Saccharomyces cerevisiae S288C: one gene and its partners. Changing the gene in region 2 together with the main gene of any one other region gives a genetic interaction. Each region holds a gene or a part of one and is shown on either strand. Other genes may lie near its edges.

What was found.
Region 1: mutations in RAD55 (region 2) and NUP60 together harm fitness more than expected from each alone (negative genetic interaction), as found in Saccharomyces cerevisiae (7 studies listed by BioGRID, with this or other methods).
Region 3: mutations in RAD55 (region 2) and RAD54 together harm fitness less than expected from each alone (positive genetic interaction), as found in Saccharomyces cerevisiae (6 studies listed by BioGRID, with this or other methods).
Region 4: mutations in RAD55 (region 2) and POL32 impair growth when combined (synthetic growth defect), as found in Saccharomyces cerevisiae (6 studies listed by BioGRID, with this or other methods).

What each region holds. Positions count from the first base shown.
Region 1 is NC_001133.9:150,630-154,838, reverse strand, and holds NUP60 (FG-nucleoporin NUP60), read right to left. Parts: upstream 2,583-4,209; coding exon 963-2,582; downstream 1-962. Other genes in the region: ERP1 (Erp1p), read left to right, coding at 115-774; transcription factor TFIIIC subunit TFC3, read left to right, coding at 3,673-3,742, 3,833-4,209. UniProt on the Saccharomyces cerevisiae protein: Functions as a component of the nuclear pore complex (NPC).
Region 2 is NC_001136.10:596,773-601,851, reverse strand, and holds RAD55 (putative DNA-dependent ATPase RAD55), read right to left. Parts: upstream 3,385-5,079; coding exon 2,164-3,384; downstream 1-2,163. Other genes in the region: SED1 (Sed1p), read right to left, coding at 43-1,059; phosphoprotein phosphatase PP4 catalytic subunit PPH3, read right to left, coding at 3,770-4,696. UniProt on the Saccharomyces cerevisiae protein: Required for radiation resistance and meiotic viability and presumably acts in recombination and recombinational DNA repair pathways.
Region 3 is NC_001139.9:190,612-200,066, forward strand, and holds RAD54 (DNA-dependent ATPase RAD54), read right to left. Parts: upstream 5,793-9,455; coding exon 3,096-5,792; downstream 1-3,095. Other genes in the region: CUP2 (Cup2p), read left to right, coding at 518-1,195; YRB30 (Yrb30p), read right to left, coding at 1,367-2,689; SUT1 (Sut1p), read left to right, coding at 7,527-8,426; YIP5 (Yip5p), read right to left, coding at 8,599-9,455. UniProt on the Saccharomyces cerevisiae protein: Plays an essential role in homologous recombination (HR) which is a major pathway for repairing DNA double-strand breaks (DSBs), single-stranded DNA (ssDNA) gaps, and stalled or collapsed replication forks.
Region 4 is NC_001142.9:515,961-519,499, forward strand, and holds POL32 (DNA polymerase delta subunit POL32), read right to left. Parts: upstream 1,554-3,539; coding exon 501-1,553; downstream 1-500. Other genes in the region: NUP85 (Nup85p), read left to right, coding at 1-329; VPS55 (Vps55p), read right to left, coding at 2,803-3,225. UniProt on the Saccharomyces cerevisiae protein: DNA polymerase delta (DNA polymerase III) participates in chromosomal DNA replication.

The DNA of each region.
Region 1 (4,209 bases), on a different chromosome or scaffold from region 2:
TAATAAGTTGAAAAAAAAAAACACATCAGCAGAAATGTGTACATACAAAACTTACTCTATCTTCCCTCTGTAGTTTGGAAAAGTATTTAAAGGTAACCAATCTCTCTACTAATCATGCTTTTAACCTCTCTTTTACAGGTTTTTGCCTGCTGTCTAGTTTTACCAGCTCAAGTTACTGCGTTCTATTATTATACTTCTGGTGCTGAACGTAAGTGCTTCCACAAGGAATTGTCTAAAGGTACTTTGTTCCAAGCAACTTACAAGGCACAAATTTACGATGACCAATTACAAAATTACAGAGACGCTGGTGCGCAAGATTTTGGTGTCTTGATTGATATTGAGGAAACTTTTGATGATAACCACCTGGTTGTTCATCAGAAAGGTTCAGCAAGTGGTGATTTAACTTTCCTTGCGTCTGATTCGGGTGAACATAAAATCTGTATTCAGCCCGAAGCTGGTGGCTGGTTGATTAAGGCTAAAACGAAGATTGACGTTGAATTCCAAGTGGGCTCTGATGAAAAGTTAGATTCTAAGGGTAAAGCCACTATTGACATTCTACATGCCAAGGTTAACGTCCTAAACTCCAAGATCGGCGAAATTAGAAGAGAGCAAAAATTGATGAGAGATCGTGAAGCTACCTTTAGAGACGCCTCTGAAGCTGTTAATTCTCGTGCTATGTGGTGGATTGTCATTCAATTAATTGTTCTCGCTGTTACTTGTGGCTGGCAAATGAAACACCTGGGCAAATTTTTTGTTAAGCAAAAAATTTTATGATCAGACTAAAAACCTTTTATGTATCTTCTAGAAATTTATAGTTTATAAGAGCCGCTAAAGGTATTCCTTCTTTTTGAGAAAGTGGAAAAAAAATGACTAAATAATATCATCTTGGAATGGTATTTTACACAAACTTACGTATTGAGTTGGGCTATACGGTAATTATGTCACGGCTAAAATTTTCATTATCAAAAGGTATATAGGGACTTGAAAGCCTCAACTTTATTTTCATCAACCAAGCCATTTCCTAGCTGCTTAGACACCACGGGAACATTGAAATCAAACTCTTCCGCCTTTTCCTCTGAAAAGTCGTTATCAATTGAGGCGCTGATATGTTTACCTTCATTATCGTTTTCTTGTGAAAGATTGGACCGTGATTTCTTTTGAACACTATTAAAAACAAAGCCTTTCGATGAACTTTTTTGAGGAGTAACCGAAAGATCTGGTTGGACGGGAGTAGAATCGCCCTTTGTAAGTTCGGTTTTTGGCTTTCCAACTAACGGCTTCGCCTGTAGGTTGGTAAAATTGAATTCCTTTGATGATGCAGATGGTGCGTTCTCGCTCTTATAAGCATTCTCAGTAGGTTCAACGTTTCTTGAAGTATTAAACGAGAAGTTAAAAGCAGAGGATGGAGGTTTATCTCCACCATCCTTCTTTTCAGGTGAGGTTTCAGCTACGACGACATTTGAGCGTAAGGATGAGGACCTTGCAGGTTTGTATTTAGTAAAAGAATCTTTGCTTGGCGCAGATGGTGAAATTTTGGTGGCGTTCAGTTGTTTCATTGGTTCTTCGCCTTGTTCAGGAACGTTTTGAAATAATGGCTTAACAGTAGTTTCTTCTTCACTGATCTCTTGCCTTGGTGCAGCATTTGGAGAAACTCTCTTATGTTTGCGTATTTGGCTTACATATGAGGAGTATGGATTAGCAAGTTCTGAAGCTGCATTATTCTTCTTACTGTCATTTTCATCTAATAGTGAGACCAATGCCGCAGCTGTATTACTTATTTTCTTACTAGGAGCTGACTTTGAAACACCACTTCTTACCGATTTAGCAGATGCTATACTTTGAGCAGATGTGTTGGCTGTGTATGTATCGGGGATCTTTTTCGCTGCACTATATCTATAAACGGTTGTTTTGTATGGTGAGGGCAGGCTAGAATAATTGAAACTGTATTTTCTTGAACCAATGCTTCCCAAAGTCGTATTCATTGACGCATTTGAAGTATCATATTTTGGGTTGAAGGTCGGCGCATTAGATATGCTGATTGGTGTACTTCCTGACTCCTTCAAGATAAGCGACTGGTCGATATTATTACCTTCGGCTGATTTTTGTTCTCCTTCCGAAGTTATCATGGATTTGCTTGATTTTTGTAACAATGACATCACACCCTCTATTTCAATTTCTGATAAAGGCTCATTACCTTTTTTACTAAAAAAGTTTGCAAGCTTTGCATTGGAGATGTTAGTTTCATGTGTTTCATCATACTCCTCTTCTTTATTCTCAATGTCGTTTCTGGCTTCACCCACTGCAGAAACAACTACGGAACGGTTTACAGTAGAATCTGGGGATATCTCAGAATGGAAATAACCTCCAGGCATACTTGAGATTCTTCTGTTAAAAGACTCATTGCGTGGTTGTTTATTAGCAACATTATTCCTTGGACTCACTCTGGCTGAATCTTTTTGGGTAAAGAAAGTTTTAATTTTAGAGAAAAGGCTTGGTTTATTGTGTGCATTGCTAATAATCTGCTTTCGATAGGGAGCGGAAGGCACAGTAGCGCTAGCCCTCCTCAATGATTTACGATGCATTGGATGTCGATTTTAGGATATCTTGCGGTGCTTATTTGATGTAAAGGTCTGTTATTTGATGTTTAAAAGTACACATTACAATAAGCTTTCACTTGTAAATATATCTTTTATTTTCCGAGAGGAAAAAGTTTCAAAAAAAAAAAAAAAAAAAGAAGAAAAATAACTTTCTCATGTAATAAAAGGTAACTAATGTAGACAAAAAAGTATACATTTAGCTTTTCTTTTTTTGATGATTTTTGAGTTTCATGTTACTAATCAGAACAATTAACGACACCTTCATTATGAAAAAATTAATTAGCTATAAGTCTTCGAAGTAGAACATGATATTTGGCAATCACTCGAATAACTATCTTAATTTACCTGCTGAAATAATTTGAAAAAACACCCGAGGCAGCAGACGAAAGGTGTTTTTGCTAAACAATGATTGATTTCTGGCGCCATTTCTACATTCTGAACAGTTCATCTCATTTCAGTAACAGTACTTCAATGGAATATTTATTAAAGAAAGTGCTTAAAAAAGTATTATAAAACGATACATGGACTGACTCAAGATTGAGCTAATAAGGTCCACCGCCTAGTGCTTAAGAGTTCTGTACCACTATAATAATTTATCTTGATCGTATTATGTGTAAAAAAAAGGCGCTTGAAATGAAAGCTCCGAAAATTAAAATACTTTGACTGCTTCGGAAAACAAAAACATATAAATAAATTTAAAAAATAAACTGTAAAATATTTAAAAACTATTAAAAATATTTTATATTTTTAAAATTATTTATTATTATGTCATGTGACAAGACTTAAATCATTACATAAAAGGTTTTGAAGTTCAATGTCAAAGTCAATATAATAAGCATACTAAGGCACACTTATGCAAATCGAGTTATTGAAGCTGGTAAAATTATAAGATTTTTATTTTTATTTCTTTTATTTCTGCAAATCTGCATTTTCAAATACCGCTTGGTTTTTTGCATCATAAAGGGCGGCGCTTTCAGTCGCGAAAGTGAAATAAACAACCAGTCACACATATAACTTTCTTCTTGCCATAAGAGAGAAGAGGACGTTTGGTTGAAGCCAACTAGCCACAAGAAAAATGGTACTGACGATTTATCCTGACGAACTCGTACAAATAGTGTCTGATAAAATTGCTTCAAATAAGGGAAGTATGTTCATGTCTCATTCTCCTTTTCGGCTCCGTTTAGGTGATAAACGTACTATATTGTGAAAGATTATTTACTAACGACACATTGAAGAAATCACTTTGAATCAGCTGTGGGATATATCTGGTAAATATTTTGATTTGTCTGATAAAAAAGTTAAACAGTTCGTGCTTTCATGCGTGATATTGAAAAAGGACATTGAGGTGTATTGTGATGGTGCTATAACAACTAAAAATGTGACTGATATTATAGGCGACGCTAATCATTCATACTCGGTTGGGATTACTGAGGACAGCCTATGGACATTATTAACGGGATACACAAAAAAGGAGTCAACTATTGGAAATTCTGCATTTGAACTACTTCTCGAAGTTGCCAAATCAGGAGAAAAAGGGATCAATACTATGGATTTGGCGCAGGTAACTGGGCAAGATCCTAGAAGTGTGACTGGACGTATCAAGAAAATAAAC
Region 2 (5,079 bases):
GAAAGAAAGCATTAAGAAGGCGGATGTGTCAAACACCACCGTTTATAAGAATAACATAGCAACACCAGCCAAACCTAAAGCACCTGGAACGACGACGTTAGCACCGTTACTGTTGATGACAACGGAATGAGAAGAAGCAGAGGATGAAACTGGGACGACTGTGGAGACGGTTAGACTTGGGTTGGCTGTGGTTTGTTTGGTAGTAACACCTGTTTCTTTGGTGGTAGTGCCCTTAGATTCGGTAACTGGGACAGAAGACTCAGGGGCTTCGCTCTTTTCAATAGTACATGGACAGTCAGTGATAGTCAAAGTGGTTGGTTCAGTGACGGTGTAAGTCTTACCGTTTGTGGTGAAAGTGGTTGGTTCTGGACAGTAAGTAGTGTACTCAGTGACTACAGTGTATTCGGTGGTTGATGTGGTTGTTGGCTTTTCAATGGTGCATGGACAGTCAGTGATAGTCAATGTGGTTGGTTCAGTGACGGTGTAAGTCTTACCGTTTGTGGTGAAAGTGGTTGGTTCTGGACAGTAAGTAGTATATTCAGTGACTACAGTGTAGTCAGTGGTGTAGTCAGTAGATGGGTTGTAAGGAGGAGTGGTGGTAGTGTTGCTTGGTGGCAAAGATGTAGTTGGTGGGAAAGCTGAAGTGGTACCGTTGGTTGGAAGACCGGTGGTTGGAGCTTCAGTAGTAGTATCAGTTGGAGCTTCAGTAGAAGTACCGTTAGTTGGAAGAGCGGTGGTTGGAGCTTCAGTAGTAGTATCAGTTGGAGCTTCAGTAGAGGTACCGTTAGTTGGGATAGCAGTGGTTGGAGCTTCAGTAGAGGTACCGTTAGTTGGGATAGCAGTGGTTGGAGCCTCTGTTGAGGTTTCAGTTGGTGCAGCTGTGCTGGTACCGTTGTCGGATTCTGGAGCTTCAGAAGATGTGATAGTTACTGAGCCAGAGGAAGTGGAGATGGAAGAGGAGGAAGTGACATCGGTGGAAGAAGCAGATGTACTGTTGGAAAATTGGGCCAAAGTAGTCGAGGCTAAACCGGCAGATAATAGGACAGTTGATAATTTCATCTTAATAGAGCGAACGTATTTTATTTTGCTTGTCTTTGTAGTTACGACTATAAATCAATAATTACAAGAGAATAGAAAAAGAGAGGTGAGATAATACGATAATGGAGAATAAAATAGGTCAGGTATTTATATGACAGTTCAAAAGAGGGCAGAGCAATGTTCCTTACTCTAGTTCTACCCCAGCCCCTACGGCCAATCTAAAAATAATGCGACTGGGAGCCATACCGTACTAATTCATTTTACCGTAGTAAAATGGATGAAAAACTGCTTAAAGGCTTTTTGTCTTATTTTTAGAAATTAGTGGACAAAAAATCATTTTCAATCAAAAATACACAAGAATGGAAAGAGATGACATCGAGAAGGGATGGATCTTTAGCCAAATAAAGTAATCAATGACCGTGTGTGCTCTGGCGCGCTGGGCCCTCTCCTCTTTCGTAATGAAAATATAATAACAATAACGGTTCTGATGGCTAATTTTAGCGATATATGCCTTTTTGTCCTCGAAAGAAGGCCGCATGACGTGGAGCAATCAGTGGTGTATGGAAGGTAGACCTCGGGGCTAAGCTTTCTCGGGGAGACGGTGCCGTCTGGGAGATAATTCCAACCAATATTACTGCTTTAGGTCATCCACCACGGGTAGTGTTGAGGATTACCTTTTTCGGTCTACGCAATATTATCCATTGACAGTTTGGCGTACCGTACAAAAAGCCGCTGCTGCAGGTTGTACTTCAACTTTAAGTCGCCGCGTTGCAAGTACATTGTGAAAAGATACTGCCTTACGTTAATTTTCTATATCCAATTGGGGAATATGCATGTCCGAATCTGGCAGATGCATGGATCGTTGAATAGTATTTCCAATTCCGTGTAAGCTGTTGCTTACATTAATCCTATAAGGGTAATGGGTGTGCTTGAGGGGATGTGTACATACCACTTTAGGTTCGAGCTGCATACCCCAATATGGAAAAACGTATTCACCTTAACTCCAACAGATTAAAATCCTAAATAGGTAAAATTACCCTTAACTTTTCTTTGTAGTTGTTGGGTGGAATGTTGTCGTTTTTCCATTTTTTATTGTTTTCGGTTTTCGGTTTTTTTATTTTACTATTAACCTTCACTATCATAAATTATCTCCTCCTTTCCCTCCGCATTTGGTAATGGATTATCATTGGAGTCAATATTGTTAAACACTTGTGAGCAACTGCTGCTGCTTGTTGATAATGTTGGAAATGAGGCAATATTAGCAGTATCAGGTTTCAGATCAATTATATCGCGGAGTTGACCTGTTGCTTTATCAAAATCAAATTTGACAATATAGTTACGATCGTCGCTGCTTCTTGACCGCTTTAAATTTCGTCCTTCTCTTTTTCTATCTTCGCCGTGTAAATTAAAAACAATAGCTATTCTCAAGTTTTCAAAGTTTCGTTTGTTTATTCTCATTTCTTTGATGGTAGTACATCCCTCGTTACTCTGCGAGGATGACGCCTTCACTCTTTTGCTTTTCACGAAAACGGTTTCGTCCACTTGTTCATTCCAATCCCTAAAAAGGCCGATCCTGTCTCTTAGAAATACTTCCCAAGTGGAATCCTTGCTTCCCATAGCGATATTGGCAACGAGCGCGCTTTTCAATATATGTACATTGTTCTTACGCCTTTCGTTGTTAGAGTTGACAAAGAAGTTAGATCCGTCGTCTAAAATTTCGTAGTATTCTTCCAAGGATTCGAATTCGTTTGATTGGAAGGCGGTGTTCATACAGTCATTTAAAACTATTATTGTCGAACCCGTGGAATGTGTGTATTTGGTCATTACCGTAAAAATTAATATCAAATGTCGACATTTTAACTCGTGTATAGTTTTATCTATCATTCCGCCGCCTCTTTTACTTAGTGTACACAGATGATCGCAGACTAATTGAGAAAATCCATCAATTATAACTAGTTTATATCGCACACTTTGAGATAATTTGAACAAATTCTGGAAGAAATATAATAGCTGTCCAAATTTCGTTATTCGGACCCGCTTCACATTTTCTTCCACGATTTTAAATTTTTGAAAGCGTTCTCTTAGTATGTTTATGGGCATTTCTTGAAATGTTTCTATCCATAGAATTTTATCGTCGTTTATTTCCGATTGTTGTATGCCTTCTAACGAATTACACACCAATTGAATGCCAAAATTAGTCTTGCCAATGCCCGGAGGCCCAAATATTTCGTAGATCGACCTTGCCTGGAATCCCAGGTTTAATATCTCATCTAATCCTGTGATGCCGCTACTTAATGGCTTTGGACTTTCTACTATTAATTGGGAAAGTGGTATACCAAGCGACATATTTTCATATTATATATTATTAATAAGTTCTTTTCCTTATCTAAAAGCTTTCCTTAATGTACTTGACATCTTTGATAGCGGAGCTTATTATTAGTTAGTCATGCTACTATGTATTTTTTTCTATTTTTCATATCAAACGCGATGAGAAGAGAACACGTGAAGAACTTAGGGGACCTCCGCATCTATAACATATTCTACTGAAGAAAAAAAGGAATAAAAAATAAAAGAAGAAACGGTAGCTGGGTATATATTAGTATTCAAAAGCCATATTGTTAATTAGCTAAGATGTGAAAAGAAGTATGTAATATTACAATTTTTTTTCCTTTATTGCATTATGAAGAAAAAAAGAAAAATGCACTTGACAATTAGAGTGCCTGTTAAAAATTTATAAGAAATAGTCCATTTGAGATTTTTTGGTTGGAATTATAGCATTTCCGACTTCATTTTGTGCCTGAACAGCTTCAAAAATTGTATATTCACGATTCAAATCGTCGTCTATCTTCAATACAGCTGCTACATTACCACAACGATAACAGTAATTCGGTGCCGACCAGACTGTCACTAATCCACCGTCGAACATTTCTTTGTAACCTTCCATCACTAACTGATGAGCTCTAGCAATTAACTCAACGTTGTTTTTCTCTAAGAATTGATCAACTTCTCTTTTACCGAAAAGAAATCCAGCACCTCTTGGTGATAATGACCATGTGTCAACGTCTTCGGGGTCGCTCCATAATAAGTCACACATAGCACCTTCATGTGGAACTTCTTGTTTCCTGTCTATTGTTCGTATTTCATCAACCGTGGTCATATCCGGAGATAATCCACCATGAACACAGAATATGCTATTGTTTATTATTGCCCCCAATGATAAATAATCAAAAACTTCACAGCAGTACCTCCATACGTTACTATTACCATATTTTCTTACTACTTCATCGTAAAATCCGTATACTTTAGTAATTTGCCGGGTTTCGTGATTGCCTCTAATTAAAGTAATCCTATCAGGATATCTTAATTTGTAACATAGTAAAAGTAAAAAACTCTCCAATGAGTAAAATCCCCTATCCACAAAATCGCCCAAGAAAATATACCTTGTTTTCTCTACACCACCACTCTTTTCGAAGAGCGTTAGTAGATCGTGTAATTGGCCATGTATATCACCGCATATTGTAACCGGTGTATCGACTTGTGTTACATTGCCTTCATTCATTAATAGTTCCTGTGAATTTAAACATAGCCTAAAAACGGTTTCTTCAGGAATATGTTTTCCGTCTCTCAGTGATGCTATAATCTTATCTAAGTCCATCATATCTCCCTTGAAATTTGTAATCACTTTTTTCGTGCTGTTTTACTTTGCTACGTGGACTAGCGTGTGACTACAAGTTAAAGTGTCCTGAATTGCAAAAGAAAAAGCTGAGAGGTTAACGTATAAAGAGAAAAGACCTCTGGTAGTACCCTCTTTTACCTACCGCTGTTTCGACGTGCTCTTTTCGAGATGCCGTTCTTCTCCTCAGTTCACATGATAAAGATACTTTTTTTCAATTAATTCATCGATTTTTTTTCTTCCCGCCGGACATTGTATTAAATTTCTTTTTCTCATTAATAAAACAAAGAACAATGATATTTATTAAAAACCGTTTAATAGTAAGGATAATAGTGAGAAGTTACATATCATATAAAGTTATTACATAT
Region 3 (9,455 bases), on a different chromosome or scaffold from region 2:
TATGATGGTGTAGAAAAAGAGGTTTTTCTATTAAGTGCTTGAAGGAAGGGCTATAGTGTACGATGGCCTAGGGAACAAGATCTCGATATAACGATAGGTAGGGTCCACACTGTTAACAAAAAAAGTACTTCTTTAAATAGAGAATCTTGTCTTGATGTAACAAAATGAAAAAAAAAAAAAATGCAACTAGAATGTAGAATACAAAAGTTTAACGATCGGCTTTGCTGTTAAGTGGTTATCTAGGGATGAGCTGAACGTGCAATTGATACCAACCGATCCTTGCTAGGAACGCAACTCTTTTCACCCACCTTCCACCACTACGATCGTGAAAGAATATTTGCTAAGAAAATCGCCAAAACGAGGCGAAGTCGCCAGGGTGCGCGGGCACGCAGGGTAAGAGCCGCAAGGCCTGGTTCGGTAAGTATTAAGCTGTGGACGAAATAGCAGTAGCCATGGCGATGTAATTTATTAGACGGCGGCTTGATAAAAGAGGACTGATAATCAGTGTATTCACAGAATGGTCGTAATTAACGGGGTCAAATATGCCTGTGAAACGTGTATCAGGGGTCACAGGGCGGCGCAGTGTACTCACACTGATGGTCCGCTACAGATGATCAGACGCAAGGGAAGACCATCGACCACATGTGGCCATTGTAAAGAGCTGAGAAGAACCAAGAACTTCAACCCATCCGGTGGGTGCATGTGTGCCTCTGCACGACGGCCAGCTGTTGGCAGCAAGGAAGATGAAACACGATGTCGTTGTGATGAGGGTGAACCTTGTAAATGTCATACCAAGAGGAAAAGCAGCCGGAAATCAAAGGGAGGGTCATGCCACAGAAGGGCAAATGATGAAGCAGCGCATGTCAATGGTCTCGGTATTGCAGATCTGGACGTTCTTTTGGGCCTAAATGGTCGCTCGTCGGATGTAGACATGACAACCACATTGCCGAGTTTGAAGCCACCTCTGCAAAACGGAGAAATTAAGGCCGACAGCATTGACAATCTTGATTTGGCTTCCCTCGATCCGCTTGAGCAAAGCCCTAGTATATCTATGGAACCTGTTAGTATCAATGAAACAGGAAGCGCATATACAACTACGAACACAGCACTAAACGATATTGACATTCCATTCTCCATCAATGAGTTGAACGAGCTATACAAACAAGTATCTTCGCATAACTCACATTCACAATAATGCATCTGGACATCTATATAAATATACATATACATATATTGGCGGTTGTTTGTTCTCCCGGCAAGCTGGCAGTCGGGCCGAGATTCGGATAAATTTTTCCATTCGTATACATATACATAGATATATACAATTATAAAATTTGTCCAAGGCTGCACAGGATACGTAACCATCCTAAAGTTTTAGGTTTTTTAACTTTTTTTCTGTCTCTTCAATTGTCGAATTGCTTATTCTATCCTTTCTGGAGTTCGTATTTTCATCGTTCAAATATATAGATAACCTTTCATCACTCACTTCCAATATACTTTTCTGATCGTTACTTTGTAAGGACGTCAGCCGAATGATGTACTCCAGTAGTGTGATCGACGAATCCTTGTCCTCCAATTTATTTTCTTCTTCTTCTTCTTCCTTTCGTTCTTCTCCGTCTTTTCCTTCCTCTTCGTCCTCCTCTTCATCTTCCTCTTCATCTTCCTCTATCGCTTCATATCCGCTTACCGCATACCAAGTAATGTCATCGAGTAATCCCTTGTCTCCTTCACTGCTCTCATTTTCTTTGTCATCGCTCCGGTCAATCTTCAATACCAACACTGGAGAATCCTGTTCTTCTAATCGGAGAAGCTTACCGGAAACACTGAAAAACAGCTTCTTAATATGGTTCAGATCTATGGCAAGTTCCTGTGGTGTGTCTTCTTTGTCATCATCCTCATGATATCTACCGTCATTGAAGTCTTGTTCTATTTTCATAAAATAATCATACTTTCTGCCTGTAGAGTTCAATCTATATATCCTTGCTTTTGCACGTTTCATATCCTCTTTCCAAACAATTCCTGATTGCCCATTGTTTTCTGAAGTTAGGTTATAGAAAATAGAGAATAGTGTAACCTCAAATGTAGGCCCCACTTGAACTTTTAGAATCTCCTTGTCACCTGTTCCTTTCTCATTACTCTTCATTGCCTTTTCATACTTTCTATTGTTCTCGCTAACGAAATCGGAGGCTTTTAATAATAAACCAGGAGAAAGTTGATATGGGAGTGCGCTGTTCAAGTTGGCACCAGAAGTGGTTAAAGAAAGATTAATGAATGGAGTGATTTCTTCGATCCTCAATAGCAAGTCCTTTATATAGTTTTCTACCGCTTTAATAGCTTCATTCTGTGTTTTTGCGCTCCTGGAACCCTCAACTTTCTGCGTCATTTCGTTGATCTTCTCATCAAACCTATCAATCTCTTCTTTTAAATCCTTGGTTAACCTCAGAGTGATTTGCAAATTCGTGTTTCCCCTCGCCGCTACCAGCTTTATTAGGTCAATTGCACTGGATACAATAGCCATGCGGCTTTCCAGTTTAAATTTCAGTTGATCTATTCTTCTAGCATCATCCTTAGGAATCTGGACGACAAAGTTCGTTATTGTCTTTAGCGCATATGTGGATGCTATCGATATTCCGGATTTTATAGCAAATGTAACGGCTTGTGAACCTGCTTTGGCAAGAATTTCATCCATTCTCTTCAGATATTGGTGTTAGGTAATAGTTAAAGTTAATCCTTCTGAGAGTGTGAAACTGTATCAGATTTTTATTTCCCTGACAGCGTGAGATTTTCTTGCCATAATCTTTTTTGGCAGTTTCGGCTGGCACTTTACCACGATAAAACTGAAGATAATGAAAAATTTAAAAGCTAGCACAAGTATAATATGACATCGCTCAACTTTTTTTACCCTTAAGTTATACGATTATACTTTTTTGATTGAAATACATAGAGATATTTACCAATTTGGCCCCAATTTTCAATTGTTTATTACGTCTAAATATATATAACCATGCCCATCATTTAAAATAAATATGTAATGACCCCCCGACGATCGAATTCTACTTTTTGTTTTTGTTTTATAAGTACATGTATGTAAGAGATCAATGTGAAATATATTGAAATGCAAAACTGATATCATTGTAATGATGCTCGTTTTTTAGTAGATGATCATTTGTTTTTTCCAATGCGTCATGGTTCAAATGATTCCAAGTTGTCGCATCACCATATAACATTGCAGGGGCTCTCTTTAATTGTTTACCCTGAGCATTACAACGTTTACAATGGTATGTTTCGTGTGTTTCACATATCGTATTCTCATTTTTTTGAAACAACTGTCTTAAATTGTCAGAACTAAACAACCTTTCAACGTCTTCTTTCGCATCGACCACGCATGAACTCAAACTCATTTTCATAGATTGTCTTTGAAAGATTTTTTCCTCTATGGTACCAGTCGATATGAATCTGTAAATGAAACAATCCTTTTTTTGACCGTCTCTCCAAACACGTGCCAAAGCTTGTTGATCAGCAGCAGGATTCCAATCCGGATCCATCAAAATTAATCGATTTGCACCAATCAAATTGATACCACACCCACCTGCTTTAGAACTTAAGAGGAAGATGAACTCTTGGCCTTCAGGATCGTTGAACCTATCCACCAATTTTTGTCTTTTGTTAATTGACATTGTACCATCCAACCGTACAGCACTGTAGTGCTTATATCTACACATTTTTTCAATGAGGTCCAAGGTTTGGGTATAGTTGGAGATCAAAACAATCTTATCATCGGATTCGGTCTTTATCTTATGGAGAAATCTTTCCAAAATGGAAAATTTAGCTGAATATTTTGTTTGTACGTCCCTGGCTTTTGAACCCGGCATATTATAATCGTCAGGTAGTTCCAAATCATCTTCATCGTCAAATTCATCTTCAAAATTCAAGAGATTAGGGTGATTACATAGCTTCTTTAAAATACCAATAGCCCTCAGGGGCTGAGACCCACCAACACCTTTTACTACTTTTTTCACTTCTCTTGACTTAATTAATTTATTGTAGAGCTCGTTCTGCAACGGCTTCAAGTTTACGAAAATAACGTGCTCATACTTGCAAGGCAAATATTTGGCCAAAATATCGTTAGTACGACGGATAATAAATTTGGAGACAATGGTAGATAGCTTCTGTAATTGCGCCTCGCCCTTTGTGATTTCTTTATCAGTAGCATCAGCATCACGCCCTCGCAAAATTGGATTCTCAAAATTTTTCCTAAATTCTGCTCTGGAACCTAATAAGCCAGGATTCGAAAAACTCAGTAGAGCAAAATATTCGGAAAGATCGTTTTGAATGGGTGTACCAGATAATATAACTCTTCTAGGACAACTGATGCTATCCAAAGCTGTGAATGTTAAAGAGTCACCGTTTTTCAAACGGTGCCCTTCATCTGCCAGCATTAAACCCACATTGCAGTTTTTCAATTGATCAACATTTCGACGTAATGTTTCATACGATATGATTAAAACGGGCTTAACAATATTTCTTCCCTGTGCCTGAGCCCAGGCATGAATAGCTTGCGAAACTGTTGTATTACCACCACCCATTGAAGATTTTTTCCCATCAACCGCTAACGGAGTTAGAGTATTGGGACCCAACCATTTTATCAATTCATTAGCCCAGTTGTTGACTAAAGAAGATGGACAAACAATGATACATTTGTCGATAAGTCTTTTACCCTGCGGGCCCTGTCTTAATAATGTCCACATAAGTGCTATACACTGCAATGTCTTACCCAGCCCCATTTCATCGGCCATGATGCAGCCGTAGGCCCCTCTATTGTTTTGTTCAGTCTTTTGAGATTCAGTAAGTGCCTTCTCGTCGCTCTTTAAGGGATCTTCGCTTGAAGTGTTGAACGCCTCAGCTTCTAAGTAATCTTTCATGACAAGCCCTGTGACACAACGGTATAAGAATCTCACCCCTTCGACTTGATGGGGTCTTAAAATCTTGGCCAGTTTTGGATCAATAACCACAGGGACACTAGCAAATTTCTTCTTGTTTTCCGCAGAGTTTTCCGAATCACCGAGTAGCTCACGTAACGGTTTGTTTCTCACACCATTTGTCATCAAAGCTGGATGGCGTCCTATTCTTTGTGTGGGTCTTTCTTCCTGGCTATTCTTTTCCTTGTTAATATTATCCTTTTCCTGTGTGCTTTTGATCATTTTCTTTGATTCTTCTTCCTTGTTATCCATAGATGTGTCATGGACAATCATTTCACCGTCAACGGACGGGTCATAAAGCACTATGGCAAATTCGTCTGTAGGGTCATGTAGAGGTCGAGGTTCTGGAGTAATTTTTTTTTTCATTCCTAACGTTAATGGCAGACTGTGTCTTTGTACATATCCCTTGATTGGCACAGTGAAAGATCTTCTCAAAGTGTACTGGATATGACTCAGTCTTGTCGGATCCTTGGCCAACCTTTGAGCACTAAGAGCATCCTTCCGTCGTTTAGTCAACTGAGAAAAACTTATGTCTTGGCTGTTGTACTCTGCTTCGTCCGCATTTATATCCAAGCCGGAATAACATACAGTCGCTGATCTTTTCCTCAAGCTCCTTCCTCCTACGATATTATCAGACCCGGTGGCGATTCTACCAGCAGCGGGCGGGATGTGCGTGTTCTTGTACGGGACCCTGAACGGTTTCGTTAGTCGGTTCACCGAGTCTTGTACGTTAATAGGCCTAGGTACCAGTCTCGGCCGTTCACCGGCTCCTATTCCATTTGGTGGTCTGTCTGGTAATCTGCGTCTTGCCATCAGTTATAAGGAAATATATATGGTACCTTGAAATAGAGCTAAGTTCTGAGCGTTTGATTTTTCTATACTTTCGTAGCAGCTTTAGTGAAGAAAGAGAAAAGTTGCTGCTCTAGATTTTGTATCGGCTATTACGTCAAGTGAGAAGAGTTTTGGCCTTCGCTTCAGTTAGATCTTCTATTATTTCCTTTTTTTTCTTTTTGTTTGTAATTGTTTTTTATTTTTTTTTTTGCGCGAAACTTTGCTATATTGGGTAACGCGTAAAATACTTTTTATTATTGCAGTAAGGCGGAAGGGTCTTCCCCTTTGCATGTTAAATAGCATACATGGCACCACTCAGGTCCAGAACGTGACACATCTTTGCACCACTTGTGTATTTTCAAGATGTTAAATTTTTGATACATAAGCTTTATCATGCAGGTGCAGTAGACGCATTTGCGTACGCGTTGAGTAGTAATGCAAGAACGCAACAATTTCACGCTTTCTACTTAAGAGGACAGATCTTCGAGCAGAATATTTTTCTCCTAGCGCGGCTTTCAGAATCTTCTTACCATCTGCAGGACATCACATGCAAGCACATGAAGCTGGAACCACGCACCATTAAATGTAAACCTACAGACATAGCTAGCACAGAAATGCTACTTTGGAAACCTCGGTTGCATCGGCTGACCTCGGCTGTTCAGCAACGTGAGCTGGTTGTTGTTATTGTTCATAGAATCCTGTATTTTACCAGTGTAGCTTTGTCCGCCCACCCCACGCTTTTGGCCACTAGTATGTACGTATATGCGTGGGCTCTATATCATTGAAAACGAATTTTCCACGCAAAACCCACTTCACACCATAAAGGCCTTATGACGATGTACATTCTTCCCCTCCCCCCTCCTCCCGAAGGAACCCTTATAGTGATCCTAATACGGTATAACGTAAACCGGAGTTGTCAGCAGAGAGAAGCGAATAATATGTTTTGCGTGGGGTTCCCACGAGCGGCAGGAACCGTAGCGCATTGAAAAATGAATCATCGATCATCTTTGGGTTTCAAGGGTTCGGACTTCGCCAAAGGTCCGAATACTTCCACCAGTATTTCTCTTTTTCCCTTTCCAGTCTCGTTCTTCGCCGAATCCCCGCTTTCCCATCATGATCGTTTCTCTGTTTCTCTCTTTCCGGAACAGGCTCTTTTCTGACCGCCAGTTCGTGCGGTTAGTTCTGTGGATCTTGCAGGCACTTGCCGGTTTAGCCACACTTCTCCGCTGTTTGTGTCGAATTTCCCTCGAGTATGAGAAAGACTGGACCACAAAAGAGGGAAAAAAAATGGGCCGATTTTAAACCATTATAGGTCACAGAAAAACTTTCTTACGACGGTGGTTTTTCAACAATACGTTTCTTGAGCAGGAGAGGAGCTTTGTTCTTTTGCCTTAGTTTTTTTTGTCTTTTTTTGTGAGCCATCCTGCTGTCGTTGCCATACATGACAGATCCACATTTGCCTTGTTGTTTTTAGTTTTTGTTCCTTGCACCATATAAAAGCGTCACTTGTATTTTCCTTACTCATCTAAACTTCAAGCTTTTTCGTCATAGTAGGTTTGTGATCTCGGCAAAGAAAAAAAATTTTTTTGCCGATCTTTCTGGTTATTGTTTCAGGTATCTTTATGAAAGTATTAGTGTACGCACTGGATTTTTGGTAGGTCTATAAAAGTGCAACACATAATCTAAATCATTGAGGTCATCGTATGTCAAAAGAAGATGTCCACAAGCATTACAGTAAGAAATAGAGATCGATCGCTACCACCGCTATTGCTCCCCAATGTTTCCCTGCTAGAAAAAGATATACGGCGTAAAGGCACCCAAAATGTGGGCATCACCGATCCAGAACTCTTGTCGACCACTTGGACGAGGAAGCGGGCTTTTCCGACTGACGAGCTTTTAGGAGGCTATAAGAGATTAAAGCCTGCTGCCGCTGACAGTAATGAGTGCGCTATTGGTATTGCCACGGTGACGCCGCCGCCAACGCTCCCCGTAAGTGCGATTGTTCCCCCTCCACAAAATTACACTCCACCATTGTTTGAGTATCATCCTCATGCTCTTGCTTCCATGGTCAATGAAGACGCTAATGCGTCATGCACTCAAATGTCTATAATTTCGCGCTCAACGAGCAACTCGACAACCTCCTCTGCCACATCTACTAGTTCAATTTCCAAGAGACAAAGAAGTGGCCCAAGTTGTGACAAATGTCGTTTGAAAAAAATAAAATGTAATGCGAAAATTGAGATTTTGCTTCAAGACGATACTATAATGCCAATGATCTCGAACAAGTTGCGGTACGTCTTGACTCCTGACGATATTCGGCTATATCGAGGCACGCTGTTGCGGAATATTGCCATACCGGATGATGTCATTGAGGGTACAGGCTCACGCAAGTTGATTAAGCATATTGATAAGTTGGTTTTGCTCACACCTTGTTTACCATGCATTAAGAAAAAGCATTCTTCTTCTTCCACTAATTTCCCAAAAAATGATAAATGTACTTTTTCAAAAGGCTTTACCAGAGCTGACATAAACATTTCATCCAAAATCTCCTTAAAATTTAAGGATAAAACCATTTACGACATAACCTATGATGACTATAAAAGCATTGATTTTTAGACAAAGGCATCTCTAATGAATAGCATCACAAAACTTGCATTTAGCATTAACATATATGGATATATATGTACACACAGAAAACGTATAAACACTCATGTATAACCCTACATAATAAGAGTATACAATGATACTAGTCATAAAAAGTATTGTGTGTATAGACGTGCGCATATTTTCAAAATATTATAAACCTGAACAATAGACAGAATAAAGTATGCAGCGCAACGACAACGATGATGGACAGCGAAAATTTCCCGTTCGATTGTGTCTCCGTATTATTATTACTCGATATTTGAGAATTCAAGAAATAAGACGACTGTGCCCACCCAAGAGCCACAATTGCCCATTGAATTGCTTGAACAGTCCTCAGGCGCTTGGACATATCCAATATATTCAATATAACACAAACGGGTATCCAGATCAAGTTAGCGTACCCGTAAACGGAAATCAATTCAGGAACACTTTTGAAGCTTCTATTGCGCTCCGAGTGCTCATCTCTATTCAATACTTGCATGGTAATAAATGGTACGCCGAACGTGTACCCGTAAAATAGCCAAATAGAATGCAGTAGCTTCTTAAACTGACTGGCCCTGTCGATGTCCTCACCAGTCTTGACGCCCTCAATTACGTCACTGATAATAAAATTTAACCCCCTACTCATGGTAAAATTGATCATTACCACCGTGGCAGTGATCCATACAGCACCGTATAAATCAGTGTTATCTTCGTTACTTTCGGAATTATGATCGTTTCTAAACGTCAGTACCGCGGACAATCTCTTTTTGAACTGCGTCAAATCGATCTGGAAGTATTTAGAATAGTAGTTTATCAATCCTGGCCTCAATCCATTACGCCCAAGACCGTCGTTGTCATTCTGTCCTATCACTTGGTCGTACGCTGGTGGGTCCATTTGACCCTGTAATGGTGCGGATTCTGCCTTACTGCCCGTTGTGTTATAAAATTCGCTACCCTTTCCAGCAGTCGAGTTATTCATGTTTGGGCTATCAGGTACGGTGGCATCATCAAATGGGT
Region 4 (3,539 bases), on a different chromosome or scaffold from region 2:
TGAGGGACAGAGAAGATTGGGGCCAAGCGCTGCGCCTATTGCTTTTGCTGATTGAATTCCCTTATTTACCAAAACATTACTTGGTTTTGCTTGTGGCGAAATTCCTGTACCCAATTTTCCTTTTAGATGATAAGAAGCTAATGGATGAAGATTCAGTGGCGACAGTCATTGAAGTTATAGAAACTAAATGGGATGACGCTGATGAAAAAAGTTCAAACTTATATGAAACCATTATTGAAGCAGATAAAAGCTTACCTAGTAGCATGGCAACACTTTTGAAAAATTTAAGAAAGAAACTAAATTTCAAATTATGTCAAGCGTTCATGTAAATCAGTATAGTAATGTCCTTCGGATGGTATATTAGGATATATGACGAAAATAAGTAAATTTAAACAACAATATATATTTATATTGATCTATTTTTCTATCACGTAAGTTGACATTTGTATTATACATTACATCACAATTAGTAATGGAAAGTGTTTGGAAAAAAAAGAAGATTATTTTGCCTTTCTTTTGAAAAAGCTTTCCAATGTTCCTTGCTTTTTTAACCTTTTATTCGATGACGGCGTTTCTTGCTTTTTTGAAGACGACAATGCCCTTTTTACCACGGGTGATGGCTTGCGTGGTGGTGTTGAAGTTGCGGGTCTCTTTGTCACAATATATCCATCCTCATCAATAAAAGAGGAGGGCTCTTCTTCAGATTTAGGTTCCTTTGAATGTTCTGTTTCAGAAGGCTTTGTTTGCTGTATTTTAGGTACATCCATAAGTGAATCTTCTGCTGTCGTTTCCAACAAGTCTTCTAAATCATCGTTGTTTTTGTCCTTATCGTTGCTGTCAGTTTCTTTAGGTGAGTTGGGCTTGGACCCTCCATTTACTTCCTCTGTATCTAAGTCATCTTCGACAAAAAGATTATTTAACTCTTTCATTTGAGCTTCTCTTTCAGGGTTCTGTTTATTTATTTTTTGCAAGTTCTCCTCTTTCCTTTTACGTAACTCATTTTGTCTAGAGGTTTCCTTGTCATCTCTATCCTTTTTCATCTTAGCCAGCAGTGCAGTAGACCTGAGACCCATGTCTTTAGATTTGGATTTCCTTCCGGTTGTTTCTTCTGGCGTGGTCTTTGATCTTGCTGTAGGCCTTACCAAAGGTTTAGATTTCTCTTCTAACGTCTTAGTCCTCTCTATAATTTTCGATGATTCAGAAACTTTAAGTTCGTATGAATTTTTAATGGTTAAACAATCCTTTTGATCGATAATGTCGTAATATGGTATGAAGCTGTCCATGGGATTGAAGGCATAGATGAAACAATCAATTATTGAATCTTGCTGTGGAATGTTGGAAAGATCATGAATAATTTTAATAGTTTGATCTTTGTAGCAGCATATCACTACGCAGTTGTATTTGGCATTGGTGGTCTGTTTGTAATAGTCAAACATTAATTTCTTGGCCATGGATGGGCCGATCTTCAAGTGGTGAATTAGATCCGTAAAAAGGACGGGCTTTACCTCAGTGAAGAGCTTCTCATTGATAAAATATGACGCCTTTTGATCCATTAATTACCGATTGAGTTAACTAAAGCCTATTTCTGGTTGTTAGTTAATGTGAAATATTATTTCGAGCTGATCTGATTGCGATGTAACGAACTTCTGCGTACTTTTCAAAATTAAGAGTTTCGCGTGTTTAACTCATACGCGTTTACTACTTCCGTCGGAAAGTTACACCGTAGTGGAAAATAGACCTATTCGTTAGTATAACCTTATTAAGGTACTTCCATTAATGAAGTGTTCTATATTGAGGCATACTGATCGAGAATTTTCATAAGGTGAAACGATAAAAATATAAAAATTAAGCTTAGCGCCGCTCGGTTTCGATCCGAGGACATCAGGGTTATGAGCCCTGCGCGCTTCCACTGCGCCACGGCGCTTAACTTTTATGAATATTTTAGACTTAATAAAGATTCATATTGTAAAATTAAAAACAACTTGCACACTGAGCTGTGTTAGAATGAAATCCTACTATAATCCATAGTAGTATTCATGTCACTAGCACATTACAAAATATGCCATAGGAAGATGACGTAAAGATTGAGAACTAGTCATCAGATATAATAGAAGCTGAAAAGCAAGAATTGATAATATCGGACGCTATCCTACAATAGCAGCGCAGTTGCATAATTTGTTATGTGTCGTCTTTATTGTGTGTAAAGCTTTATACACCTTTACCTTTGTGTAGAAGACAAAGACATTGTTGTTATCACTATGTCCACATTCGCTACGAGGATATTTTCAACATATCTAGTTGAAATACAAATCTCAAGCCACTATAAAAACTGCGGAATCAAACAAATGTACAATACATTATCCTACTAGAGACTAATTTCTCAAGGTTTGCAATCCCATCTCTTTTCATGAGGTATATTGCGGCACAGAATGGTTGTACGACCATTGCTCAACGTTTCCGCTCATAGATCGATTCAAATAAGATTATAGACATGTGGCGATTCAATGCCAATCCTTATCCCGAAATTACGGATGTATTCAGCCAACTTTGCCTATCTACATTATTCTGTCAACTAGAGGCTAAAGACACGAATTTCTTGGCATTTTTTGTTTGAAAACTTGAAATGGAAGAAAGACAGAAAGTAATTTTATGTAATCTATTATATTTAAGTAGTTCTAAAAAAAAGGAGAAATCGACGCCAGATTTCCCACCTTGAGTAGAGTATCATACTATATAATATCAATGTACGGTTCACGCACCCAGTTGGCTTAGTCTGTTGAGGGGATGAGTAATTGTTATATATTAACCAAAAAGGGAATCATCTTCGTTGAAATCTTTTTTGAAAAACCATTTAAAAATAACAATACTAGAATATATGATAAGACCACCGATCATGCACATGATACAACTCAAATGGCCAATCAATTGGCAATGATAGAAAACAACAGGGAGTGCTATACCGCTTGTCACCAGCATTCCTGTAAGGAAGTGAGCCAGATCTTGGCCAGTGTTTGATGAATCGGACATGAAGTCAGATGTGTGATATTTATTTCCTGCATTGAAAATTGTGTTTGGTATTGGGGCAAGCAAAAAGATCAAAATATCGAATAGTGGGTAGTAATTATGGAATAATGCGCAGCTTAGTATGACCAAAAGGAATCCCAATGCGAGGAATCCTGACAGAGAAATAATCTTTGTCAATGGTGACACTTTGAATTCCATCATAACCGTCTGGGATTTTATGTATTAAGATTCTTTGCCTTTTAGATTTGATAAATATGCGCCGATATTAGACGTGTGTGTGTGTGTGTGTGTGTGTGTGTGTGTGTGTGTGTGATTCCCCTTTTCTAGTTTTTCTCCTACTCTTTTTTTCTCAGTTTTTCGTAAAGTGGAGTGAAAGCCCATCTAAGAAAAAGGCATAATAAAATGTAATAATTTTGAGGAGTACATTTGGGTATAGAACAGGATCAAACTAATTACAAGAGATACATGGCTTTCCCGCTTAATGCGAGGAAACAGTACTTATATAAACGATATAT